3 linked regions of the Mus musculus genome follow. The protein of the gene in region 1 purifies or fractionates together with the protein of each later gene. This does not show direct contact. Links are inferred from orthologs where the notes say so. Each region holds a gene or a part of one and is shown on either strand. Other genes may lie near its edges. The genes, in order: Nkap, Dhx8 and Rnps1.

What was found.
Region 2: the proteins of Nkap (region 1) and Dhx8 purify together in Homo sapiens (co-immunoprecipitation; 3 studies listed by BioGRID and IntAct, with this or other methods). This does not show direct contact. The link is inferred for Mus musculus from reciprocal best matches to the Homo sapiens genes NKAP and DHX8.
Region 3: the proteins of Nkap (region 1) and Rnps1 purify together in Homo sapiens (co-immunoprecipitation; 3 studies listed by BioGRID and IntAct, counting the BioPlex papers as one, with this or other methods). This does not show direct contact. The link is inferred for Mus musculus from reciprocal best matches to the Homo sapiens genes NKAP and RNPS1.

Annotation. Positions count from the first base shown.
Region 1 is NC_000086.7:37,125,478-37,129,677, forward strand, and holds the start of Nkap (NF-kappa-B-activating protein), read left to right. Parts: upstream 1-1,285; 5' UTR 1,286-1,518; coding exon 1,519-1,898; intron 1,899-4,200. UniProt on the Homo sapiens protein: Acts as a transcriptional repressor. Plays a role as a transcriptional corepressor of the Notch-mediated signaling required for T-cell development. Also involved in the TNF and IL-1 induced NF-kappa-B activation.
Region 2 is NC_000077.6:101,731,524-101,735,835, reverse strand, and holds the start of Dhx8 (ATP-dependent RNA helicase DHX8), read right to left. Parts: upstream 2,881-4,312; 5' UTR 2,796-2,880; coding exon 2,648-2,795; intron 1,681-2,647; coding exon 1,595-1,680; intron 459-1,594; coding exon 386-458; intron 28-385; coding exon 1-27.
Region 3 is NC_000083.6:24,417,640-24,421,283, forward strand, and holds part of Rnps1 (RNA-binding protein with serine-rich domain 1), read left to right. Parts: intron 1-398; 5' UTR 399-508; coding exon 509-579; intron 580-817; coding exon 818-973; intron 974-2,566; coding exon 2,567-2,758; intron 2,759-3,644. UniProt on the Homo sapiens protein: Part of pre- and post-splicing multiprotein mRNP complexes. Auxiliary component of the splicing-dependent multiprotein exon junction complex (EJC) deposited at splice junction on mRNAs.

The sequences.
Region 1 (4,200 bases):
CTTCCCTCAGCTGATTATCCAATACCAAATGGTCGGTCCTGAAATCATAAACATACGGTTAATATATGCTCTGAGCAGGTTATTGTAACAGGGCTCTAGACCTTAGTAGGTCCCCAGACCTTAGCACAACTGACTCCATGATGGAAGTACCATTCAGGCTGCAACATTCAGCATGTAGACAGTATCACCTGCCAAAACAAAAGACAAAAGATCAAAGTACATAGTTCTGGGAATATTCCTAAAGGTACTGACCTTCCCTGTTGGCTTCTGTAGTTTCACTTTTGGACATGTTCTTGTTAACTGAAGTATATCAACACAGGACGTGTGTGTGTGTGTGTGTGTGTGTGTGTGTGTGTGTGTGTGTGCGCGCGCAACTTTTTTTTTCGAGACAGGGTTTCTCTGTGTAGCCCTGGTTGTCCTGGAACTCACTCTGTGGACCAGGCTGGCCTTGAACTCAGAAATCCTCCTGCCTCTGCCTCCCAAGTGCTGGGATTAAAGGCATGGGCCACCACCGCCCCGGCGTGTGTGACTTTCTATTGGCTAAAACCCATATCTAAGTAGTCTTCTCTGGTGAAAACATTACAACAGCTATAGTTACAGGTACATGTAATGACAAATAAAGAAAAAGAGGCAATGAGTTTAAAAGAGCAAGAGGAGGCACGCAGGAATGGTTGGAGGTAGAAAGGGGAAAATGACACAATTACATTTCAATTTCAAAAAAATTAAAAACAAAATTAATATTTGAATGCTCTTTTGCCTAAAAATACTTAATACATACAACTATTAATCGTCTACCTTATATTTTGCTGGGCTAGTGTATGATGGACTAGTTGAAGGGGCTTGATAACTTCGTTTTGTGGGACATTTGTAGAGATGGGTGGCTTGAACCTACGTACTAAGATTTTCCTCTGGGTCGCTAAATTAATCGGAGTATAACAGACTGAAGTTATCAGAATGTATGCTTTCTAAGTGAACTGGACAACAATGATCTTAGATTAAAGCTTAACCCTAATCATGATCTTTTGTTTGCTTGGGATTAAAAAAAAAAGAGTGGGAGTGGGGGTTATAATACATACACAGATTCATACGCGCACACTATACAGGCAAAGATCGTCCCACACTAAATAAAGGGAGAATTGGCGGTGTTGCTTATATGGCTACTCAATGAAATACTTGTCTCATTCATCGCAATGTTCTTTCAGGCATCCAGTGCGGTTTAGGTTTCAGAAACCTCACTAGGAACTGGATGAGAGCGTAGCCTCAGTTTCCTGGCCGGCTTCTATATAGAGGTACACAAATCCCTTCCTGTTGGCGGCAAGGACTCTGGGTCCGGGGGAAGGGGTTTACCGCTGTACACGGAACTGTTTCCAAGTTGGTTTTTTTGTTTGTTTGTTTGTTTGCTTGCTTTTTTTCGGATTTGGTCGGCTGCAAGCTCTAGGACCCTAGGTGTCCGGGACCTTTGGGGGTCGCGAGAGCGCCTCCTTGTCCCGCCCCTTGGTAGCTTCAGCTTCCCCCACCATGGCTCCTGTATCGGGCTCGCGTAGCCCTGAACGGGAGGCCTCCGGGGCGAAGCGTCGCAGTCCATCGCGGAGCCCCAAATCCATCAAATCTTCCCGCTCCCCGCGGTGTCGCCGGTCTCGCTCGCGCTCTTGTTCTCGGTTCGGCGACCGGAATGGCCTCAGTCATTCGCTGAGTGGCTTCAGCCAAAGCTCCCGAAACCAATCTTACCGCTCCCGCTCTCGATCGCGCTCTCGCGAACGGCCCTCGGCACAGCGGAGCGCCCCGTTTGCTTCTGCATCCTCGTCCGCCTATTACGGCGGCTACTCGCGTCCCTACGGGGGCGACAAGCCATGGCCTAGCCTGCTGGACAAGGAAAGGGAGGAGAGTCTCCGGCAGAAGTGAGTGAAATCGCCGCACCCTCTCTTGGGTCATTCTGCCTGCCTTTGAGTCCAGCTTGTTCATTGTTTCTGTTTTATTTCGCTTCCCATCCGCCTCGCACCTTTTTCATCTCTTTCTTCAGTTCACCCCGTGACCTTTTTTATTTATCCTTTCTAACTTACATTTTCATTCATCCCTAGACTCCTTCATAAGAGGCCCTGGTTTCCCACTACCTACTTACCCCTACTGGGAAAGTAAGAGGCTATTGTATGCCTTGGTGTCATTATCCGTGCACCTGTCTTTATTCCTCACTAAACGGAAATAGAGGTTTGTGACTTTTATTGATCACAGAATTAGTAGTGCCTGCCTCTTGGTAGGCATGGCAGCTGTTTCTTGTTGCATGAACAAACAGAAAAAATTGAGACAAGAGGATATTTCAGTGGAAACGTTTTGCAGTGAACTGGGAAGTATTGTAATTAAGTATATGTATTGGTTTTGAGGGAAAAGAATAATTAGATGAGGCTATGTTGGGAAAAGTCTTGGCAAGTGGTCTCAGCCGTGTTGACCATGCAAACCAATGTGGGAATGAGATTGGATTTCCTCTAATGGAATTCTTAGTTTAAAAAGACTCACAAATCTTTAGTAGCAACAACTGTGAGACTCTTGAGGCAAGTCAGAACACTCATTCTCATCGACGTAGCAAATTTACGGCCGCCTTGGTCTACATGAGGCCATGCCTCAAGACATATTTAAATTCAAAAGCTGGGCATGCATGATGTCTCACTCCTGTAATCCTAGCGTTCAGGAAGCCGAGGTAGGACTGTCACAAGTAATTCGAGGCCAGCCTGTACTACAGAGTTAATTCAAGGTAGGCCTGAGGTAGAGTGATATCCTGAGAGAGGCTCATGTTGCTGCATTAGTCATAGTATCTGATATGTATGAAGTTTATTATGCTTGTTAAAAATTAGGTCTTAGGCCCTGTACCATGTGTTTCAAAATGGTAAAATTTCAAGTATTACAGGCATCGAGGGGCAAGTTAACTTTCCAACAGTTGAGAGATGCTTCATGTTTTTTTTTCCTCCCCCAGCAGGGGAAGAAATACAGTATAAGAAAAAAAAAGGGCAAGTTTCCGCATTGCCCTGCCTGAGTGTGAAGGTTTTGTTTGTGGTGAAGCAGGATGGTCTTGGGCAAGTGAGACCTTTCCTAGCTTCGCTTCTTCATCATTAAAAATCCGCAGAAGCTGGAGCTGAGCTCAGGGGAAGAATGCTTGCCTAGCAAACCCGAGGCCCCGAGTTGGAGCAGCGGCCCACAAGGGACAGGGAAATCAGTAACAAGGCTTTTAAGGGTGTAATAACATCCATAAGTGAAACAGTCCTGATCTGTTAGAGACCTCTGGGATGGTACCCATGGAGTGTGTCAGTTGAAAAGCAAATGCTGAGCCAGGATCATGTCTCTAATCCCAACACTTGAGAGAGGGTCAGAACCACTAGGAGTTGAAGACTAGCTAGACCCTGTCCTATGAGATCCAGTTTCAGAGGAGTAAAGGATTTACTGGAATGTTAAGTGATTGGATGAGATTTGCATTTGTACTTTTAGGTGATATGAAGTTTATTCTGTCTATTAAAATTATGTCTTAGGCATGGTACTAGGCCTTAGACTTTGTGTTTTAAAATAAGAAATTTTAACATATTACAGGAGCAATAGACATGAGACTTCTGTGCTCTTTATGGCTGGGCAGGCATTCTTCCCCCAGAAGCCACAAACAGTTGTACCCCTTTTCTAAATTATCCATTTTGGCCAAATACAAAATTCTCCAAGTCTCTCTCTGTGTAGTTATCAATACCCTTTTTCATGATCAAAAATGTTAAAAAAAAGAAAAGCCAATTATAGGTCTTTCGTAGTAACTTTTTTTTTAAAGATTTATTTATTTTATGTATATGAGTACACTGTAGTTGTCTTCAGACACACCAGACAAGAGCGTCAGATCACATTGCAGATGGTTGTGAGCCACCATGTGGTTGCTGGGTTTTGAACTCAGGACCTTCGGAAGAGCAGTCAGTGCTCTTAACCACTGAGCCATCTCTCCAGCCCAGTAGTAACTTTTAAAAGTGAGTCATAAGCCATCAAACTTTAAGGAATTCAGGCTAATTATTTTCTTCAAAGAATTATTTTTATTTTATTTATTTTTGGGTGGAGGGGATTGAGACAAGGTCACTATGTATAGCTTTGGCTGTCCTGGAACTCATGTTGATGAAGCTGGCTGCAAACACAGAGAGATCTGCCTGCCTTTGCCTCCCAAGTATTGGGACTGAAGGCATCCAC
Region 2 (4,312 bases), on another chromosome or scaffold:
TTTCGGTTTTGGGTTTAACAACCGGATCTGAGTTCATTAAGGAGCAGGGATAAGAAAGAGACAGATATATTTAATATTACTAGTGAATGCAATAACTTCAACATTAGATTTGTATCAAATGCAAAAAACAAACAACATTTTACTACATATATCACATACGTACTAGAAAATTTAGCTTGATTGTCTAAATCCATTAACTTCGAAAGCCTCACCAAGCAGTGTGCTGGTGAAGGAGGGGAGGGAGACTATCAGCCCTCATTTGAATGTCTCAGAATTCGATTAGAGCATTCTCTTGCTTAGCAACAGCTGAGAGCAAAGTGCAGTTCACAGGGATGCCACCACCCAGCCCCTTCTGGAGGCTCTGCTCAGCTGGAGCCCTCCTTACCTTTACTGGTAGAAGGCTTTGCAGGAGGCCGCATGGTCTGTATGAGACGCAGGAGGTTGCTAATAAGAGAATCCTACAAAGAAAAGAAGCACAGACATAGCACGTCAGCCTCTGGATCTGGCTCAATATTACAATAGGATATGCTGTAGGGAAGTGTGCTTATGCCCTCAATGTGTGCTGACTAGACAAGAAAGCACAGAATGTCAGCCTGGGACAGCAGGAAGCTAAGTTAGACCAGAGGTTCTCAGCCTGTGGGTCACAACCCTTTTAGGAGTCACCTAAGACCATCAAAAAACACAGATATTTACATTATGAGTCATAACAGTAGCAAAATTAGTTATGAGGAAGTAACAAAACATAAATGTATAGTTGGGAGGCACCACAACATGAGGAACTGTATTAAAAGGTTGCAGCATTAGAAGGCTGCAGACCACTGGCTTGGACGATACCCAGAGACCATTTCTTCCCATCTTTTAAAATTGTCTCCAAACCCTAGACTATTATTGCTCCTGACGTCATTTTTCATTTGTTTGTTGGTTTTTTGAGACATGATTTCTCTTGTGTAGCCCTGGCTGTCCTGGAACTCACTCTGTAGACCAAGCTGGCCTCAAACTTAGAAATCTGCCTGCCTCTGCCTCCCAAGTGCTGGGATTAAAGGTGTGGGCCACAACTGCCCGGCTTGTCCCTGACGTCCTGATTCACAGAACAAGAATGTCAACATCAGGGGCTGGAGAGATGGCTCAGGGGTTAAGAGCACCAAATGCCCTTCCAGAGGTCCCGAGTTCAATTCCCAGCAACAACACATGGTGGCTCATAACCATCTGTAATGGGATCTGATGCCCTCTTATGGTGAGTGTCTGAAGACAGCTACAGTGTACTCACATAAATAAGATAAATAAATCTTTAAAAAATGTAAGTGAAGAAAATATCTAATAAAAAATTAAAAACAAACAAACCAACAACAACAACAAAAGAATGTCAGCATCCTCAGACTTACTGCCGGAAGTCCTGCGGCATTCTCCTAGGACAGTGGGGAAGGAATCTGGCTCCCTGGCCAGCAACGCAACTTTACACATTTGATGGCTTATTTACTTGATATGCACAAATCGCTCCTTCCTACTTAAAAATCCTTTAGTGCGATCAAAATTTAAATTCAGTAGCAACACCAAAGAAACAAAAAGGAAACAAAGAATCTTCAGATATACATACTGTGAATTCTGCACCATTTTTGACCAGAGAAGCCTTAAAAGTATCAAAGGTAGTATTTTTCTCAGCAAGACTGATGACAAATTCAGCTGTTAAAAAAAAAAAAAGGAATTATAAATGGACTCAGATAATAATTAAATTATAAAAGAACTCAGGAATCCGCCTGCCTCTGCCTCTCAAGTGCTGGGATTAAAGGCGTGCGCCACCACTGCCCGGCTTTGTCGTCGTTTTTTGTGACGGGTCATACCCTGATACATACCATGCCCAAGCTACCCTCAGATTATCTACGTGTGACTTTGGAATTACTAATCATTCTGCCCTCACATCCCAAGCCTGAGATCCTAGGCGCCTGCCTGGCTGTCATTTACTTTTGAGGACATTCTGAAAAAGCCCAACACCACCCAACCCTGTACCTATCAAACGGAAGTGTTCCCCTCATGCTTCTAATTCACATACTCGGCCTCTCATTTTCACAAGGGCTCCGGCTATGCATATAATTACGATCTGGGCCCCGAGCCTTTCTTATTTTCTCTCTGGGTCCCCTAGTCACAGTTTGCCCTTAAACATCTAATGACTAGTATGTGAGAGATAAGAAGATGTAACTAATTTAAGAGCACGGCTCAAAGCACAAGCTCGAAGTAGATGCTGACTACTGCCTGACTGTGCGAAGACCAAACAAGATAATGTAGATGAAGAGCTACCCATAATATCTTGTGAGCTTCTAAAAATTACTGGCCGTAATTACAACCATCATCTTCGCGGGGGCTGCTGCTGCTGCTATTGTTAAAGCTATTTCGCCCCCCAGAACTGAAAAACAACAATCGAGCAGAAATTGCTGCCCCAGCCTTCACCGGCAGCTCACAGAAATGGTTTCTAATAGCTCGGACCGGATGGTTCTCAAGCAGAGGCCACCGCCACAGGTTCCCGGAGCCCAAGTCACGATGACACACACACAGACACAGACAGACAGACACACACACACACACCATCAACCGCTTCTCTCCTGCCTCCCTCACCCCCAAAATCAAAAGCCATCGGGACCTTCCTCCAGCTCACCCAGATCCTTGTCGTTGATGCCCAAGTGATTGTCCAGCTCCGTGCAAACCTTCGACACCAAAGACAGGTACTCAAGTTTAGCGAGTTCTTCCGCCGGGCCGGGCTCCGAGCCCATTAGGACCCCGGCGGCGGCCACGGCTACAGCCATGGCTACAACTTCCCTTTGGTCTCCTTCCGGCCGGCCAGAACGCGAAGCCACAGCTTCCACTTCCGGGTCGGCGCTCGTCTCTTTTGTTTACAGGGACGTCAAGTAAAGTTAACCGTCTTTGTAAGGATCAGCGAGATCTGGCAGGAAGTTCCCACAGACGGGCCAGACGCACTGAGTTACGCTGTTCGTTCAGTGGCGGCCTCTAGCGGGGGGGAAGACTCCACCCGCCTTTAGGTTTTTTTAAGGATCAATCTCAGCGCGCCTCTGTGATCCGTCAGCAGAGGGCGACCGTGGCCTGCGCGACTGAACAGCGCCTCGGAAAAGCAAGTTGGCTTGTCCTTGATCAGCTCAGTTCCTGACCTCATGGCAAGTGATCTCAAGTGACCTTACACCAGCAGACGCTAGATTCTGGCTGCTTATCTGTAAACTCGGATAATACGGTCTAAATGAAATAGATATGCAAAGTGGCTGAGCCACAGTAGGCACACTGAAAATATTAGTTGCTGTTATAACCCCCCCAAACTGCGAGTGGTCCAGCAAAGCTTATCTCAAGCATTCCTGTTGCCAAAACCCTCAGTCCTCTTAAAATCTGCTTCTCTAAATGTCAGCTGTGTTGTGAACCTGAGGTCATAAATTCAGGTGTCCCAACTTTTACTTTTCCCTTTGGCAGAACCTTGCAATGAAGATGAAGGGTTTCCCATGTCTTAGTATTCTGTGTAAAAAACAAGAAAATACTTCCTCTAAGGTGAGTAGCCCTCCCATCAGTCAAAAGACAGAAAATGAGCCCCCTCTGCTACTGTTGGCTGACTCTGTTGCACTACTGTGTCTTTGAATTATTGGGAACACTTCAGTGATAACGAGTTGCAGGGAAGCTGGGCAGGCTGGTGCTCTCCTTTAATTGAAGCACTCGGAGGGCAGAAACAAGCTGTTCTCTGAGACTGAAGTCAGCCAAAGTTACACAGTGAGAACCTCTCTCAAAATTGCAGGCAAAGGACTATCACAGTAGTTCCGTGTTTCCAGGTTCCCAAGGATTTAGTACATTGCCATCTGAGTTCCTGATGCCCTTCCCTTCCTTATAACTTACTTGTTTTTATTTCCTATACATGGTTTTGCCTGCATTCATGTCTGTGTAAGGATGTCAGATCCCCTGGAACTGGAGTAACAGATAGTTGTGAGCTTCGGTGTGAGTGCTGGAAATTGAACCCAGATCCTCTGGAAGAGTGACCAGTGCTCAGAACCATGAGCCATTTCTCCAGGACTCACTCCTTCCTTCCTTCCTTCCTTCCTTCCTTCCTTCCTTCCTTCCTTCCTTCCTTTCTCCGTGAACAGAATGAGAAAGTCTGCCCTTGATGCTGCTTGCTTATCTGCCAGTATGGAGTTAGGTTTCAGGAGTTAATTCCACTTGACCCTTCTTTCTCTACATCTCCTTGCTACTAAAACTTCATATTTCTATCCAGCTGCACTTTTAACACTTAACAAGAAGAAAGGACAAAGAGATTGGGAGCTGTTTTTTAAAG
Region 3 (3,644 bases), on another chromosome or scaffold:
GCCATTGTGGTGTCTAATATTTTGAAAGCCATCTACAGGTGGCTGGTTCATCATCAAACTTGGTGAACTCTAGTGTGGGACAGGCCCTAAAAAACCAAATGTAGCTACAATTACCTCTCCCACTTCATTAAGGAAAACAAAGAAGAATCTTAATATGCCTGTACCTTAGACATGTAATACATTTTGCCTTTCTTTCTCAAATAAAAAACCTAAGGTGGCCTCTAAGAGTAGGAAAGGCCTCCATGGCGCGCTAATGAGGGCCCTGGGTGTCAAGGCTGTGTGGACACTTGCTGTTTGCTGTGCTTCTGTCCTGTGTGCTCAACGGTCTTTGATGCAAAATAGAGTTGATGCTTTGTCAATTGGTTTGCTCTATTTCAATCCTTTTATCTTGTTACTAGGCTGCTCTTTGGCGTAAATTGCAATCGATTAGGGATCGTTTCTCAGACTCAAGTTAGAAGTGAGAGTTCAGATAAGTGAGGCCGACATTGCTGCCTTGAAGAAGGGGAGAATGGATTTATCAGGAGTGAAAAAGAAGAGCTTGCTAGGAGTCAAAGAGAATAATAAAAAGTCCAGCACTAGGTAATCCTCTGTAAGATTTTTTTCTAGTGCTATTTTGGGGGTGCTTGCTGTTTAAGGACCCTAGGAAAGGGGAGATTTTTGTTGTTGTTGTTCTACAGTGCGTGCCCTAATTCACAGATGATTTTGCTCTGTGATCACCTGGGATGTTAGTAATCCTTTTGGACCGCACTACTGGGTTGTGCTATCTCAGGGTTTGGTCAGAAGGGCTTGCAACCTCACATTCTATCTTATCATGCAGGGCTCCTTCTCCTACCAAACGCAAGGACCGATCTGATGAGAAGTCCAAGGATCGATCTAAAGATAAAGGGGCCACTAAAGAGTCAAGTGAGAAGGATCGTGGCAGAGATAAGACTCGGAAGAGACGCAGTGCTTCAAGCGGAAGCAGCAGTACCAGGTGGGGCAGAGGGAACCATGTCTTCCTTCACTGTGAAGCCCTCCAAGAACTTCTTTGGGGGAAAGGGGTGACACGTGTGTGTTGTGAAGGCCAAAAGTATGTTAAATTTCTTCCTTTGGGGAGGTGTGAAGGCCATCTGCTCTTCCATGTTCCCACAAACAAACAAACCTAGGTCCAGTTCAGCAAAGTTCACTCTAGGAAATCAGTGAGTTTACCAGGCTTCCAGTGCAGTGGGTGAAGGATAATTGGCAGGAATGTGGGTGGTAACTGCCCTGTGAATGTTCCCTCCCCACAGTCCCCTACTTAAAGCCTTTGCCTGAGACCTGAGGACCTGTGCAAATAGGGCAGAATTACAACTGGTTTGGAGGGGTGGCTGGATACTCCAGTGAGGGTCCCTTGACCCTGTCCCTTCCAAGAGAGACAAGCCCAGTGTGATGATCGTTAGTGAGCAAGCCCAGTTGAAGTGAGAATGACAGCAACTTTTCTGCGAGGGTAGTCCTGTATGTGTGGCTCCCTAAGAGCTGTCTGCCTAGCTTTTCCATACAGGATTTCATTGCTTCCTGCAGCTTGCCAATTGAATTGAGCTGGTTGCCCAAGGGAAGACTACGTTGTCTTAACTACATTGAAAACAGACCCTAGAGTTGTTGATAAGACCCTAATATAGCATGCAGGTTTTGTTTCATTATATATGTTATGTGGTCTTGCTGTGTAATGTGTGTTTGTGGATATAAACTCTCCTATGATACTAAAGTGTGATGTTTGGATAATGGATGAATTGTTTCTCTTGCAAGTATGTATTCATCCTGAAATGAGAATGACTGGCTTCAGGCTGGAGCCTTTTTTTTTTTTTTTAAACTGTGTTTATACATGCATACCATGTGTGTGCCTGGTTGTCACACAGGCCAGAAAGGTGCATTGGGTCCCCAGAAACTAGAGTCACAGGCAGTTGTGAGCTGCCATGTGGGTGCTAGAAACCAAACCTGGTTCCTCTTACCTGCAGAGACATTTTTCAGCTCCCAGTCTGCTCCTTTTTTTATTTAAGATGTATTTATTTTTATGTTATTTATGTATTTATTTTAATGTGCACGGTCACTGTCTTCAGACACACCAGAAGAGGTCATCAGATCCCATTGTGGATGTTTGTGGGCCACCATGTAGTTGCTGGGAATTGAACTTAGGACCTTGGAAGAACTGTTAGTGCTCTTAAACTCTGAGCCATCTCTGCAGCCCCTCTTTCTTTTTATTTTTAAGTTGAAAACCTGCCTGAATTGGTCTTCAGCCCTGTTGATCTGATTTTTGCTAGGCTGCTGCTTTTTCCTCATTGGTAAAAATAAGGATTCTGTGTAGGTAACAACAGCCCATCTCATACGGTGTTGGGACTTGTCAGATGTCATTACTGGTGAAATGGGGCTTAAGCAGGAAAGCACCGGGCAGTGGTGGCGTATGCCTTTAGTCTTAGTGCTTAGGAGGCAGAGGCGGGCAGATTTCTGAGTAAGAACCAGGAGAGCGATATCCTCTACTGAGCAGTCAGTCTTCTGTGCAGAAATAGGACTCTTGCTCATTGACTCTGTGACACCCCCACCTTGTCCTCAGGTCTAGGTCCAGCTCCACCTCCAGCTCGGGCTCCAGCACCAGCACAGGCTCAAGCAGTGGCTCCAGCTCGTCCTCTGCATCCAGCCGCTCAGGAAGCTCCAGCACGTCCCGGAGCTCCAGTTCTAGCAGCTCCTCCGGCTCCCCAAGCCCTTCTCGGCGCAGGCATGACAACAGGCGGCGCTCCCGCTCCAAGTGAGTTCAGAATGGCTAGCCTGCTCATTACAGTAGTTACTAGAAAAGTAGTTTGGGCTGACAAGATGGCTCAGCAGGTAAAGGTCTTTGCTGCCAAGCTTAACAGCCTGGGTTTAATTCCCGGGACCCACATGGTGGCATGTGATAACTCCCGTGGTTTGTCCTTTAACCTCCAATGTGCACAGTGACACACAAGTGAGGGGAAGTGCAGTGGTACATGCACATGTATTTGTACCAGGATAGTCGGAAATTTGAGGTCATGGTGGGCTGCGTGTGAGCCTGTCTCAAAAAGACACGAGAGCCAGGCGTGGTGGCGCACGCCTTTAATCCCAGCACTCGGGAGGCAGAGGCAGGCAGATTTCTGAGTTCAAGGCCAACCTGATCTACAGAGTGAGTTCCAGGACAGCCAGGGCTATACAGAGAAACCCTGTCCCGAAAAACAAAACAAACAAACAAAAAGACATGAAAGAAAGTGAATAAAAGTTAGAGGGTGGGCAGGATGTCTGAGTCAGTGAGGGTGCTCGCTGCCCAGCCCATCAACCAGACTGCCCTTCCCCGGAATACACAAGGCAGGAGCTGAGAAGGGCATCTCCCACAAGTTAGTCTCTAACTCTATGTGTGTTGCCCTGGTGCATGCCCCACAGAAGTAAAATAGACACAGATTTGAAGGGGTCTTAGTTTGGTTTCTGAATCAGGGATGATAGTCTTAGTGATCTGTTTCTGTGAAAAGACACCATGACCAAGGCAATTCTTATAAAGGATTGGGGCAGGCTTACAGTTTCAGAGGTCCATTATCCTCATGATAGAGAGCATGGTGGCACACAGGCAGACATGGTAACTAAGAGTTTTACATCCAGATCCACAGTAGCAGGAAAATCTAGAAACT